Linked DNA regions of Callithrix jacchus. The protein of the gene in region 2 interacts with the protein of the main gene of each other region in a pairwise test. Links are inferred from orthologs where the notes say so. Each region holds a gene or a part of one and is shown on either strand. Other genes may lie near its edges.

Region 1 (4,943 bases), about 16 Mb from region 2:
TACAAGTATCAGAGCATCACTATGTGTCCCATAAATGTTTAATTACTACTTGTCAATTTTTAAAAAAATTTTAAAGAAAATTACAAAGTAACTCATACTTACAAAATACTATGTGTATACACACATATATAAAGTGATACATATAAAATTATATACATATATGATTTACAGAATAATAAAGGCTGGGCAAGGTGGCTCATGCTTGAAATCCCAGCACTCTGGGAGGCCAAGGCAGGAGGACTGCTTGAGCCCAGGAGTTTGAGACTGCAGTGAGCCATGATTGCACCACTGCACACCAGCCTGGACAACACAGCAAGATCCTGTCTAAAAGGGGGTCAAAAAGAAGAAAATAAACATCCATGTGGCTACCACCCAGTCTACAAAATGGAACATTGCCTTTGAAGTCCTTTGAGCCCTTCCCTCAATACATCCTCTTCTCCTGTCACCCTTCCAAAAATGACTACCTATTTTATTTTGGTGCTTACATAATTTTGCTTTCCATAATACCTTTGTCCACAAATGTGTCTGTATATTCCTAAACCATATTGTTTAGTTTTTTGCTTTTGACTTACACGGTGTCATACTCTGCATATTGCTTTTTTTTCAAATCTAACATGATATTTCTGATATTCACCTAAGTTGGGAATGGTAGGTGGGAGGAAGGAATGGGAGAGATTTGTTAAAAGATACAGAGTTACAGCTAAATAAGAGTGATCTGGTTACAATTCACTTATTTTTCAGTGCTGTATAATTTGAATAAGTAACAATTTATATGTCTAAAAAATGCCACCCATATATGAATTTGGGCATTATATTTCCAACATTTGCAATTTGAGGGACATGGTCAAACCATAACAGAGGGTCAGATGAGTTAATAAACTGAAACACCAGGACCTGTGCATACTAAGTGTCATATACACATCATCCTTATCATCATCCTTTGGGGGGAAATCACTGACGTCAAAGTGGGTAAGACCACCCAGAAACGAAGAGGGTTGAAGACAGAGCCTCAAGGAACCATCATCTCAGTCTCTTGTGCGGGAGAAGTAACAAAGAAACTAACCGGGGGAGTGGGCAGCGCTGCTTTGAGGTCACCGAAAGGAGTAGGATGGGTTGGAGAGAGCTTTCTAATGGCTTGTTTTGTTTGGATGCTAAGGAGAGGAGAGACAGGCATTCCGCTGGAGGGAGGGAGGGATGCCAGAGGCAAGGCGCGGGCAGAGAGCCAGGGTGGGCGGGAGGAGGGCAGACTGGTATCCTCTGGTCTATCCCCACTTCCAGGACGCGTTTTCTAGGGGGGCGGAGTGTGGACGGCGAGTATGGGGAACTCCGAGAGGGGCAGTGTCTTGTCACAGGAAGGGAGGGTCAGGAGGGAAATTTGAAAGAAAATGTCTCTGGAAAACCCAGGGCTCCGCGCTGCCAGCGCCTGGCTCTTTCTGAAAGAACCACTGAGCAAGAAGGAAAAGCCAGGCCCCTTGGCGGGTTGGCGCTGCGGGGCCTGGAGCCTGAGCCAGGAGGTCTCGGTGGCTGGACCTCCGCCTCCACCCCATGGGTCAGAGCAGCCTGGACTTTTGCGCGCTCCTGGGAGGGGATCCGGCGTGCGATGGGCGGGGGCGGGGGCTGGGCCCGCGAAGGCTGGACGCGGGATACAAAGCCAGGAGCCACGAGGCTGGAGGCCGGGCGGGGGCCGGAGCAATGAATGGGGACGCCTGGGCCAATCCGAGCGCAGCATCTGCAGCCGCTAGAGAGGGAGCCAATTGGATGCCCGGCCCGGCGGCGGGGACGGGGACGGAGCCAATCAGCTGGGAGGACGGGCCGGGGCGGAGCCGCGCAGAGTTTCAAATCGGCTGCAGTGGGCGAGAAGCAGCCGTGCTCGGGTGTGATCAGCGTTGGTGTCTGGTGAGTGCGGGCGGGACCGTGGTGGGGCTTCTGCTCAGAGCAGGAGGACCTCAGGTTCGGACATGCACGGCGTGGGGGTGCGTCTGGGTACCTCAAGCGTCGGATCGGAATAGGGCGAGGGGCCGTCTGGTGGGAAGGCCGGGGTCTGGGCGGTGGTGCGTTGGGTCTGGCCGAGCTGGTGAAGGAGATGGTAATCGTGTCCTGGGCCCGGCGCTGAGGCTCGATTCTGGAGTGTCCTGATCCTGCCTCCCCTCCTTGCCTGAGGCAGAGAGAGGAAGGAGGTTGGGATGAAAGGACAGCTGTTTTGGAAACTTAAAGTGCTGGACAGCAGAAATCCTGCTGACCTGAGACCCCTCTTCCAGGAAGCATCTTCCTTTCTGCACCCACACTTGCAAACTTCCCCACCACCCTGCTGCATCCCATCTCCTCCCCTGTGCCCAGGGTCTCTGTGGGGCCTGGGAATGGGGATGCGGAATGCCTTGCTGACCTGCTCTTTGCCCTCCGCCCCAGGGTGTAGTGGGCAGAAAAGACTTGGCCTGGCAGATGGCTTCTCGGTGGCAGAGCATGGGGACCTCCGTGCGCCGGAGATCTCTCCAGCACCAAGAGCAGCTGGAGGACAGCAAGGAGCTGCAGCCTGTGGCCGGCCATCAGGAGACCTCCTCCGGGGCCCTGGGGTCCCTGTGCAGACAGTTCCAAAGGAGGCTGCCCCTGAAAGCCGTCAACCTCAACCTCCGCCCAGGCCCCTCCTGGAAACGTCTGGAAACCCCAGAGCCAGGGCAGCAGGGCCTCCAGGCAGCAGCTCGCTCAGCTAAGAGTGCCTTGGGTGCAATGTCCCAGGTAATACCGACAATACTAACCATCTTTTTTATGAAGGGTTTCCTTGGTGCCAGACAGTTCCTGCCTTCAAAGAGCCTCCAAAAATATAGACTCCATGAAGACAGGGACTTTGGTTAGTTCACTGCTGTTTCCCTAGCACCCCAAATAGTTCCTGGCATGTATAGGTGCTCAACAAATAGTTGAATGAATGAATGAAAGCATGTCTTGGAGGAAACAGATGCTCACACTACCAGGTGATAAGAGCTGTATGTGATAGGAAATTGCAAGCAAGTGGCCAATAGCAAGGGCTCACCAAACGAAAGCTTAGTTGGTGAAGGCTTCCCAGAGGAGGTGCCTCCAGAGTTCACCCAGGGAAGCCAAAGGTCAAGTGGTATTTAAGGCAGTGGAAATAGTTCAAGTCCAGGCCTGGAGCAGGAGGAGCTGAGGAAAAACAAGATTGCCCACTCAGCCATGGACCCCTGAGGAGAGCCAGAATTTTAGTGTGGGAATGAGCAAAGGACACAGGGCAAGGTAGAGCAGGGAGAAAGGATATAAAGGAGCTTAGACTCTCCCGGGAGTGATCAGGAGTGGGAGTCCATAGGATTCTAAAACAATGGAAAGTCTGGTCTAATTAGCATGTTAGAATTTGCCCTTTAGCTACATAATGGAGAAGGGAATGGAAGCAGAGAAGCTCCTGAAGGGGGACCTAAGGGTCTGGACTTGCAGGGGATAAACTTCGGGAACTGCCTAGAAGGTTGATTAGAGGGGATTTAATGTGAAATGAGAGGTGCTGGCAGGAAGACATCCTTATATTGGCTGTAAGTGTCTATGGGCCCTTTAAGGGATGCATCTTTCAACCCAGAGCTGGAGGTAGAGAGGGGTCACTTAGAAAGGACAGAAGCCATTAGGATGAATGGACCTTCAGTGAGAGGACTGGAGACTGCAGAGGTTTCTCCTCGATGTCTCACTGGGAATTCCAAAGATGAGCGGAGAGGGTGGCTGTTTCTAGACCCTCTGCAGAGAGCTCTCTGAGCCAAATGTTAGTCCTTATTTGGAAACTTTTTTTTTATTTTTTGAGATGGAGTCTCGCTCTGTTGCCCAGGCTGGAGTGCAGTGGCGTGATCTCGGCTTGCTGCAACCTCCGCCTTCCGGGTTCAAGTGATTCTCCTGCCTCAGTCTCCCAAGTAGCTGAGCTTATAGATGTGTGCCACCATTCCTGGCTAATTTTTTTGTATTTTTAGTAGAGATGGGGTTTCACCATGTTAGCTAGGCTGGTCTTGATCTCCTAACTGCGTCGTGATCCACCCAAATGCTCTCCTGGTATGCAGGGGGTGGTAGGCAGGCTGGCCTGCTCTTCTCTGCCCCGCCCCCGCCACAGTCGTTGGGTCAATCTGTATCTGGAAGGAGAGTTAGACAAACAGGCTCCATGCACTAGGGCAGGTCATCCTGCTGCTGACTGCTGCTGTCATATCCAAAAGCTCTGAGCTGGATCCCTGCCATGGAGTCCTTTCCCGAGGAGTCATTCACATCCCTCACCCTGGAGACTAACAGCAGCCTGTATTTACAGGACACTTGTTGGGTCTAGGGGTGGTGGTAGCTCACCCTTGTTTTTTGCTTTTTCAAGACAGGGTCTCACTTTGTCGCCCAGGCTGGAGTGCAGTGGCGTGATCTCAGTTCACTGCAACACTGCAACCTCTGCCTCCTGGGTTCAAGGGATTCTGGGATTACAGGTTCTTGGATACAGCCCGCCAACATGCCCAGCTAATTTTTTTGTATTTTTAGTAGAGATAGTGTTTTACCACATTGGCCAGGCTGGTCTCCAACTCCTGACCTCCAGTGATCTGCCCGCCTTGGCCTCCCAAAGTGCTGGGATTAAAGGCATGAGCCACCGCCGCCCAGCCTCACCCTTGGTTTTGTCTGTGCTAACATTTCCATTTGCCTATTCCAGAGAATCCAGGAGTCCTGCCAAAGTGGCACCAAGTGGCTGGTGGAGACCCAGGTGAAGGCCAGGAGGAGGAAGAGAGGAGCACAGAAGGGTAGTGGATCCCCAACTCACAGCTTGAGCCAGAAGAGCACCCGGCTGTCTGGAGCCACCCCTGCCTACTCACCCTCAGGCCCCTGGGAGAAGGCGCATCACTGCCTCTCTGCCCAGATGGGCTCATGTGCCCGCCCGTTACGGCGGTCGAGGCGGGAGGCAGCCTTCCGGAGCCCGTACTCCTCTACAGAGCCCC
Region 2 (4,226 bases):
TTTGGAGTAGTGGGTAAAAGTGTGAGATTTTTATTCAGATTGCCTAGGCTGAATCTCTTTTCACCACTTACAAGGGTCTCAGTTGCTTCATCTGTAAAATGGGCATAATAATTGGACATTTCTCCCAAAGGTTATTGTGAGATCTAGAAGAATTAATCTACATATAATTAACTTATAAATGTCCTGGCACATAGTAAGTTCTCGATGAATGTTAGCTATGATTGCCATCAAAAAATGTTCAAAGAGCAAAGTAATTTGTTACGTCATTCAGCTTTTCATTTTCTAGCTTTATTAATATATCAATTGCTTTATATTTTATGAGTTTTAAAAGTTTATAAATGTGGAATATTTAAAAACACTGGTCCAGATAGTGCACGGGTCTTTCTCTCTTTTTGAAATGGCCTTCACAGTCTGTTTCTCAGCCTGATTTTTATAGCCGGTGGATTGGAATTAGGAGTGGCATAAAACCTCCAAGGAAAGCCATTTGTGGAGTTATTCACCTTCTCCACAAAGGCAGGGGCAGGAGAAGAGTTTGATTTCTTCGTCTGGCACTGGCCAGGGGTATTTCACATCTTAATTCAGAGACACACTGGAATGATCAGGCTGAGCAGTAATAATGCCTTGAGCAGTTTTAGTCTAGCTTAAGCAACATCTGCCCTAGTTCTATTCACAAACATCAACAGATCATCTGTCAGTGTAACTATGTCACTCTTGGAGTCCTTCAACGGAGTTGCCACTTTCCTTACCTCTTCATGGGTTTTCTTAAGGCAAAGAAGATCTTCCTTCAGAGACTCCACATGGGCCTCCAGGTCGGATTTGCACAAGGTCAGCTCATCCAGGATTCCATGCAGGCCGCTGATGTCAGCCTGTAACAGCTGGCGAAGGGACAGTTCACTGTCGTACCTTTCACAGCAAAAGAGAAATCCAACACTTATTCTGTTGAATGCTGTGCAAAGTGTGAGGATACATGGAGGATCGACATATGAATTTCAGGAAGCCACATGCAGAATTTCTCTTAATTCCTGAGTAATGATAAATTCAAGCTTTTAAGACATTCTTAACTTTAAGATATTATATAGAGAATATTTGTGTGTGTGTGTGAGAGAGAGAGAGAGTGTGTGTGTGTTTGTGTGTGTGTGTGTGTGTGTGTGTGTGTGAGAGAGAGAGAGAGAGAGAGAGAGAGAGAGCGCCATAAATTATTTTCAAAATAAAATTAAGCCTGGGTGTGGTGGCTCATGCCTGTAATCCCAGCACTTTGGGAGGCCAAGGCAGGCAGATCACCTAAGGTCAGGAGTTTGAGACCATTCTGGCCAGCATGGTGAAACCTCTTCTCTACTAAAAATACAAAAATTAGCTGGGCATGGCAGCACATGCCTGTCTGTAATCGCAGCTACCTGGGAGACTGAGGCAGGAGACTCGCTCAAACGCAGGAGGCGGAGGTTGCAGTGAACCATGATAGTGCCACTGCACTCCAGCCTGAGCAACGAGGGAAACTCCACCTCAAAATAAATAAATTAAATAAAATTCAACTCACTTTGACTTAAAATCCTCAGTGGCCAGTTTGCAGTTGTCAAGCTGTACAGCAAGTCTAGAATTCTCTGCCTTCGTGCATAAGATCTGTGAAGAAAGTCCTTATTTAATAAAGTATTCTTTGAGAGAAACCTAAATAAACTACTATCCAACAGCTATGCCATTAGTTATCCTTTGAAAGTCTTTATAAGAAAGTGTAAAATGGCCGTTAGCTGCTTTCCGTATTCACCGTGTCACTTGATGAAGCAAACAAGCAGTGCCAATTCAGAAACAAAATAGAGACATAAAAAGGTTCACTTTTTCTCATAACATAAGACATTTTGCACTATTCCTAGGCAGTGGAACGCCATTAACGTTTTTCTCCATCAGTAGTTTGTATTATGACTATACCCTCTCCCATAATGGAAATTCATCAGGGAGAGAAGAAAATGACTAGGTGGTTAAAAAGATGGCATTTCATGATCTGTGTTCAGATAATATAAATGTTCAGTGTCACATACAAAAGCGATTTTGGATATAACACAGTCTTTTTGCATTCTATAGATGACGAAGGAAAAGTCCACAGACAAGTTACTTTGTTATAGTTACTCAGTAATCAGGGGTAGCTTTAGGGGTGGGACTGAGGTTTCCCGACTTCCAGCACAGTGCTCTTCCCTATGTACCATTAACTTGTAGAACTCTCCTTTCTCTTGGTTTCCTTCTGTAAAACAGCACCTTCTAGTAGAAAGATAAAGCAAACCATAGATCGAGAAGCTGGAGCACTAGGGCAACAGGACATGCACCTTTTGTTGGAGATCTTCAATGGTGTTGAAGTAACACTGATAATCGGGACATGCCAGTGGGATATCCTGTTCACATTGCTCTTGGATCCTGGATTCCAGCTCTGCATTGGTCTCCTCCAGGCTGCGCACCTTCTCCAGATAGTTGGCGAGTCTGTCATTCAGGAACTGCATCGTCTCCTTCTCATTGCTAGTGAACACTCCATCCTCACACCAGGCACAGTTCCCCACCAAGCAGGGACTACTACAACTCCCAGTAAAGTAGCATGGCAGGAGGCAACCGGTCAGCCCGAGAGACCTGGAAAGGGAGCTAGGGGTCTGACATCGGGATGCAGCACAGGAACCGGGGAGACAAGCTGTCTCCATGGAACAGCTTGAGGCAGGTGCACAACAGGAAGCCCTGGTACAGGACTCAGGAGAGCAGAGCGTGGAGGAGCAGTCAGAAGACATCCTTCTAGAAGCAAAGACAGAGACTGGCTGCAAAACACCAGTTGCCTTGACTCCAAAACACTCCTTCCCTCCTGAGAGTTTTATATAGCGCCCCCTCAAAATGGGTGTTTACAGACTGCACCGGATGTTTTCGTCATCATTGATGGTGCCGGTTTTTATACAAACATCTCATTAGAGTTGTTTATTTACTGAAGAAGAGTTGTATGCCTCATAAAAGGGGGATAACTTTAGGTTACCAAAGCAGGGCCCACACCATTTCCATGTGCAAGACAAAACACTTATTTCAGAAAATCATCATAGGAAGCATTGTCTTTTTGACAGAATAAGAAAAGAAAGAGAACATTTGGCCAATCAATAATTATAGATACAACTCATTACAAATCAGGAAATTAATATTCCCACAGATTTTGATTCTGTGCATTGATTGCTTGTGTCTTCTTTAAAATTAGTATTACGGCTCATAAAAGGACATTCATTTGTTTGTCCACCACTATAAAAATGGTCAGTGTGGTTAGCAATCTTCCAGTGCTTTTTGTGATCTTAGAGCATGTGCTGACAGGACTGGAGAAGTGAGGTATATACTGGGTTTAAAGAGTGTGAGTGTGTGTGTGTGTGTACAAACCATGTCTACCTGCATACAAATGGAAAAGTCTCTTTACACAACTGATAGGAATAACTTGTTTCCTGTAAGTTAAAATATATATTGGTTAGAGCTGGAATTATGATCTTTGACTTCCTGAAACTTGCCTTCTCCACACTTCTTATTTTTAGATAAGTCATACAATTTTACCTGTATTCCTAATAAGAGTGAAATATAAATTTTCTAAGTTATAATCTTTTAGTCCCTTGGGAATTCCTCAGTGATTATACTTCAGAAAAGAGGGAGGAACCCACAGGAGTCTTTGCTTCTGAGATGTATAAACATACTGGAACTTGGGAAATAAAATTCTATTCAGGTTCCAAATGACTAATTCCACTGGTTGAAATCTCTGATGCCAAATCTGACAGATAGGAGCTTGAGATGTGTGACTTTTTTGGATTCTCTCTTGAATTTCACCTCCGTTATGAAGTACAATCTATTTCACTTTGCTTAGCGTTAGTCATGACATGTATTTCATTTTCAAAGGTGCACAGAGAAAATTGCCTCTAGAATTTTTAAGAACATTATAGGAAAAAAACACATTAATCTGAAAAAGTTAAAAAATTTATGATCCAAAATAAACTTATTTCTTCTCCTAATCTTGAGTGCTGCTTCCTGGGTAGCTGAGAAGAGAAACCAAACCAAACCAAGCCAGAGAACATATGTAAGTGAGTTAAAATAGTCTCTTACTCCCTGGGCAGAGTTGAGTTTGAATTTAGTGATTCTCTTTACACATCAACACTTATGAGAAAAGTTTTTAGAGTGCTTCATGGTATGCTGATGCTGCTTTGCAACAAACACAAGTTCAAGGATTCAAAAACACTTTC
Region 3 (4,758 bases), on a different chromosome or scaffold from region 2:
GGAAGATGGAAGATTGGAGCAGAATAATAAGACCAGTGGTTTGGAAGTGATCTAAGATAAAGGTTTCCTGGTATCTATTACTTAAGTTGCAGGGTAGGAAAAAGGATCCCAGAATGTAAGCTCCACCAGAAAGAGTCCTCACTGATTTATAATACTCCATGTACCTAGAAAAATGCTTGGCACATAACATGCATAATAAATGCTTTTTTTGTTTGTTTGTTTGAGACAGTCTTACTCTGTCGCCCAGGCTGGAGTGCAGTGGCACGATCTCAACTCACTGCAATCTCTTCCTGTCGGGTTCAAGCGATTCTCCCGTCTCAGCCTCAGCCTCGTGAATAGCTGGGATTACAGGTGCGTGCCACCATGCCCGGCTAATTGTTGTATTTTTAGTAGAAACGAGGTTTCGTCATATTGCCAGGCTGGTCTCAAACTCCTGATCTCAGGTGATTAGCCCGCCTCGGCCTCCCAGAGTCCTGGGATTACAGGTGTGAATCACCTTGTCCGGCCAATGAATACGACTGAATACGGCAGTGTCAGATAGAATACAAGGCGAGGGAGTGGAGGGGAGAGAATACAAGAAAGGATGAAAATTAATCAGAACATGGGGCTAGAATTTGAGGAGTAAAGGTGTCAAAAAAAAAAAAAAAAAAAAAAACCAGTGACAGAACTGAGCATGTCAGGAAGGGGATCTAGTTTTAAATTATAATAACTAAAAGCTGTGGTATTAACGCCTTTATTTCTAATAAGACCTCATGCATAAGCTTACTTGAACATGACATTTACCTAGGTCAGAAGGGATGCAAATCCTCTAGATTTCCAAGAATTCTCTAATCATCTAAACATGTTTCTTCTTAGATGGTGCCAACACACCTTCCATGTTCTTTCTGCACACGAACGTGAGGGGGAGGAGGGCGCTGGCAGAAAAGTTGCCGACAGGTAAGGGGCCAGAGATATAATTGTCTCTACCGCAAATGCAGCACCTTCCCCATTCTTGGGGCGTCCAACAAGCGGAGAGCTAGAAGATGACTGAAAGTAACACAGTAGAGGTGGAACTAGAACAAGGTCACGAGCAAGTGCCCAACTCGTCTAACTCCTGGTTCCAGGCTGTGCCTCTGGGATGCTGTTGGCGCCAGCAGTGTTAGTATGACAGAGCCTGGGTAAAGGTCGTCTGCTGACGAGACGGTAGCTAGGAGACCTCTAGGTGAGCCAGAATTAGGGCGTCTTCTCCTGGACGTGCGGAACGCCCTGCCCAAACAAAGCTCATTACATCACCAGGCCTGTTACTTTAGCAGGGTAACGCGCCAAACCACCACCGACTCCGCCCCACCCTCCCCGCCCCTCTAGTATACGCAAGCGCACAAAGACCTGCGAGTGACGTCACCCCTCCCGGCACCACCGCGACGTCGTTTGACCAAAGGCCTGTCGTAACGGCCCGGCAAGAGAGGCCTGGAGAGGAAGGGCACGCACGCCGCACAGCCTACCCTGCTCGCTGGTATGCGCGCGCAGATCCTTGGCGCAAGCATTGGCACTGGAGCCAATGAAGCGCGGCAACGTCACTGCGTAGCCGCAAGCTCGGCTGTACGTCAGGGCGCGGGAGGGCGGAGCGAGTTTGGTTGCACTTACACTGGTACTTAGGCGCGGACCGGCGTGTCCTTGGACTTAGAGAGTGGGACGTCCGGCTTCTGAGTGGTAGTCTTTGTTGCGCTAACCACGAAAAAGGTGAGAGCGGGTCGCGGAAGCCGCATCTGGTTAGAAGCAGAGCTGTGGGGGGCACGTATTCGCGAGGATACGCGGGGAGCCTTCGAGGGGAGCCCGCGCGGGGTGGGAAGGCCGGACGTGAGGACCCTAGACTATGGTCAAACGAGAGCCAGGCGATCAACCGCTTGAGGTAGGGCGGAAGCCCAACTAAGGTCTCGGTCAGTTACTGGAGACGGCAAGACGCGTCCTCTTCCGTCGTGGTTGTTGAAGGGCTATGGAAACGATAGGCCAGACTTCCCTCCCTTAAAACCGAAGCGTAGCGTTTCATTTTCTGCTTCAGAGGGCAAAAGCTGTTGCTCCTCTAATAAGGGGTTGTTCTTTTCGTGGGCACATGTTTGTTCTTTCAATCGTTGCGGCGTCCTAGAAACGTGGGTTTCATCAGTCACCTTGAAACCGACCTGGATGGGTGACCTCGTGGTCACCTCGGGGGGATCACCGGTAAGAGAGTTGGGGATTTCTTGGGGACACCGTGCAGCCTACTCCTGCGCTCCAATTCACGCAGGAGTAGTGTCAAGCTACTCTTGTGCCCTGGGCAGGTAGAAACAATCAGAACCGTTTATTTTATTTTTAATTTATTTTTGAAGACGGAGTCTCGCTCCGTCACCCAGGCTGAAGTGCAGTAGCACGATCTCGGCTCACTGCAACTTCCGCCTCCCGGGTTCAAGCAATTCTCCTGCTTCGCCCTCCCTAGTACCTGGGACTACCGGTTTCCACCACCACGCCCGGCTTTTTTTTTTTTTTTTTTTTTTTCTTTCTTATGGAGTTTCGCTCTTCTTACCCAGCCTAGAGTGCAATGGCGCGATCTCGGCTCACTGCAACCTCCGCCTCCTGGGTTCAGGCAATTCTCCTGCCTCAGCCTTCCGAGTAGCTGGGACTACAGGCGCGCGCCACCATGCCCAGCTAAGTTTTTTGTATTTTTAGTAGAGACGGGGTTTCACCTTGTTGACCAGGATGGTCTCAATCTCTTGGCCTCCCAGAGTGCTGGGATTATAGGCATGAGCCACCGCGCCCGGCTTTTTTTTTTTTTTGTATTTTAGTAGAGACAGAATTTCACCATGTTAGCCAGGGTGGTTTCGTTCTCCTGACCTGGTGATGACAACCCACCCCTCCAAGCCTCCCAAAGTGCTGGGATTATAGGCGTGAGCCACCGCGCCGGGACCCAGGACCGATTTTTAAACATTTGTGCTTTGCATTATCCTCAGGGAGAGGTGGCTTTACATTGTAGTACGATTAAATGATTAGACCTTCTTAAAAGTTGCAGTTGTGGTGATTTTCACTTAATGTTCGCTGTTCTGCTTCGTATCTGTGACTGTTTGTGATCATGACCTTATCTTCTGAAACTGAAGTTTGAATTACGTTCCCATTTGCTTGCTTGGGTTTTAACCTTCCTTCACGTATACACACAAAAACAGGTTTTTAAGGAGGTGCTCCTAAAAAATGTTTTTGGTATGAAAGAGTATTGGGTATAAAAAGTATTAAAGCAAAAGAAGATTCATCTTAGTATTTAATGACATAAATTATCAATGGATTGGTAATTAAGTGACTAGAGTGGTCATTAGTTTACACTGTATTTGTTACCTGAAGAAAAATTATTGTTGGGTCTTTCGTTTTTAGAATTCAATATGGGTGATGTTGAGAAAGGCAAGAGGATTTTTATTCAGAAGTGTTCCCAATGTCACACGGTGGAAAAGGGAGGCAAGCACAAGACTGGGCCTAATCTCCATGGTATCTTTGGGCGGAAGACAGGTCAGGCCTCTGGATTCACTTACACTGAAGCCAATAAAAACAAAGGTAAGAGGAGAACACTTGTTAAATAAAACAGCACAAAACGCATGAACGTAACCTGTGGCAAACTCCGGAGTGTGAAATACTTAATGGATGCATTCTTTATCATTTAGGCATCATCTGGGGAGAGGATACACTGATGGAATATTTGGAGAATCCCAAGAAGTATATCCCTGGAACAAAAATGATCTTTGTCGGCATTAAGAAGAAGGGAGAAAGGGAAGACTTAATAGCTTATCTCAAAAAAGCTACTAATGAGTAATAATTGGCCACTGCCTTATTTATTACAAAACAAATGTCTCATGACTTTTTTATGTGTACCGTACTTTAATAGATCTCATACACCAGAATTTACATCATGAATGACTGACAGAATATTTTGTTGGGCAGTCCTGATTTAAGACTAAGACTGGCTTGTGGTTAAATGAATATGTTCAGTTTTTGGATTTTAATAGTAATTCCAATTTAGTAAATTCTGTCACACCCACCCCTTCTAAAGATATGATTAGACTTCATTAGTAATGTTAAAACTTTTCGCAAAGATGGTGAGTGCCATCTTAAAACTTACTGGAGATTGGTTTTATATTTAGATTTATATGACTGGTTATGTGAATATATTTAAATATGGGGGCAATTCCTTCACAGTCTCAGAACCAAGCAAGATTCACCTGTGTTTTGTGTTCGTTTGCCTCTTAAAGGCAAGGTTGAAGATAAACGGGTAGCAATGGCTATTTTATATTTTTGGCCTTAACTATGCCAATCTAATTAGAGTACCCTGTATTTAAAATGGTTCCTTTTACTTACTGAAAGGCATTTTGTGTGGTTTATGTGTAATATAAAAAATTATTTAACACTTCACACATTTTATAGATGATCTATAAGGTCACATGCTTTTAAAATAGTAGCCAATTAAACTTCACTCTTGGATTCTTTACAATCTAAGTCAAACTAAGTTATAATTTAGGATTGTCTTTAAAAACAGCCATTCAGAAACAAAACTGTATAACTGCTGTGTATTTGTGATTGGGAATGGTGCTTTTGCCAACCTCTAAAGGATTAAAGTAGAAGAGATATACACAAATTTAAAAATGATGTGTGATTATAAGACTTAAGATAATTAAAAAGAAAACCACAGATCATGATTTTTTGACTGTGCTTGATTTCATGACTGTTGCCAAAATTTTAATGATTATAAAGTACAGGAGCCCTAAATAT

The links.
Region 1: the proteins of KRT40 (region 2) and PIMREG interact in binary tests that used the Homo sapiens proteins (3 or more experiments, as listed by UniProt). The two-hybrid records come from large-scale screens. The link is inferred for Callithrix jacchus from reciprocal best matches to the Homo sapiens genes KRT40 and PIMREG.
Region 3: the proteins of KRT40 (region 2) and CYCS interact in binary tests that used the Homo sapiens proteins (3 or more experiments, as listed by UniProt). The two-hybrid records come from large-scale screens. The link is inferred for Callithrix jacchus from reciprocal best matches to the Homo sapiens genes KRT40 and CYCS.

Annotation. Positions count from the first base shown.
Region 1 is NC_133506.1:107,999,529-108,004,471, forward strand, and holds the start of PIMREG (protein PIMREG), read left to right. Parts: upstream 1-1,846; 5' UTR 1,847-1,896; intron 1,897-2,406; 5' UTR 2,407-2,439; coding exon 2,440-2,733; intron 2,734-4,660; coding exon 4,661-4,943. UniProt on the Homo sapiens protein: During mitosis, may play a role in the control of metaphase-to-anaphase transition.
Region 2 is NC_133506.1:92,275,950-92,280,175, reverse strand, and holds the start of KRT40 (keratin, type I cytoskeletal 40), read right to left. Parts: upstream 2,801-4,226; 5' UTR 2,760-2,800; coding exon 2,313-2,759; exon of another isoform or gene 1,618-2,312; coding exon 1,535-1,617; exon of another isoform or gene 904-1,534; coding exon 747-903; intron 1-746. UniProt on the Homo sapiens protein: May play a role in late hair differentiation.
Region 3 is NC_133512.1:32,935,640-32,940,397, forward strand, and holds CYCS (cytochrome c), read left to right. Parts: upstream 1-1,661; 5' UTR 1,662-1,719; intron 1,720-3,372; 5' UTR 3,373-3,380; coding exon 3,381-3,549; intron 3,550-3,656; coding exon 3,657-3,805; 3' UTR 3,806-4,685; downstream 4,686-4,758. UniProt on the Homo sapiens protein: Electron carrier protein. The oxidized form of the cytochrome c heme group can accept an electron from the heme group of the cytochrome c1 subunit of cytochrome reductase.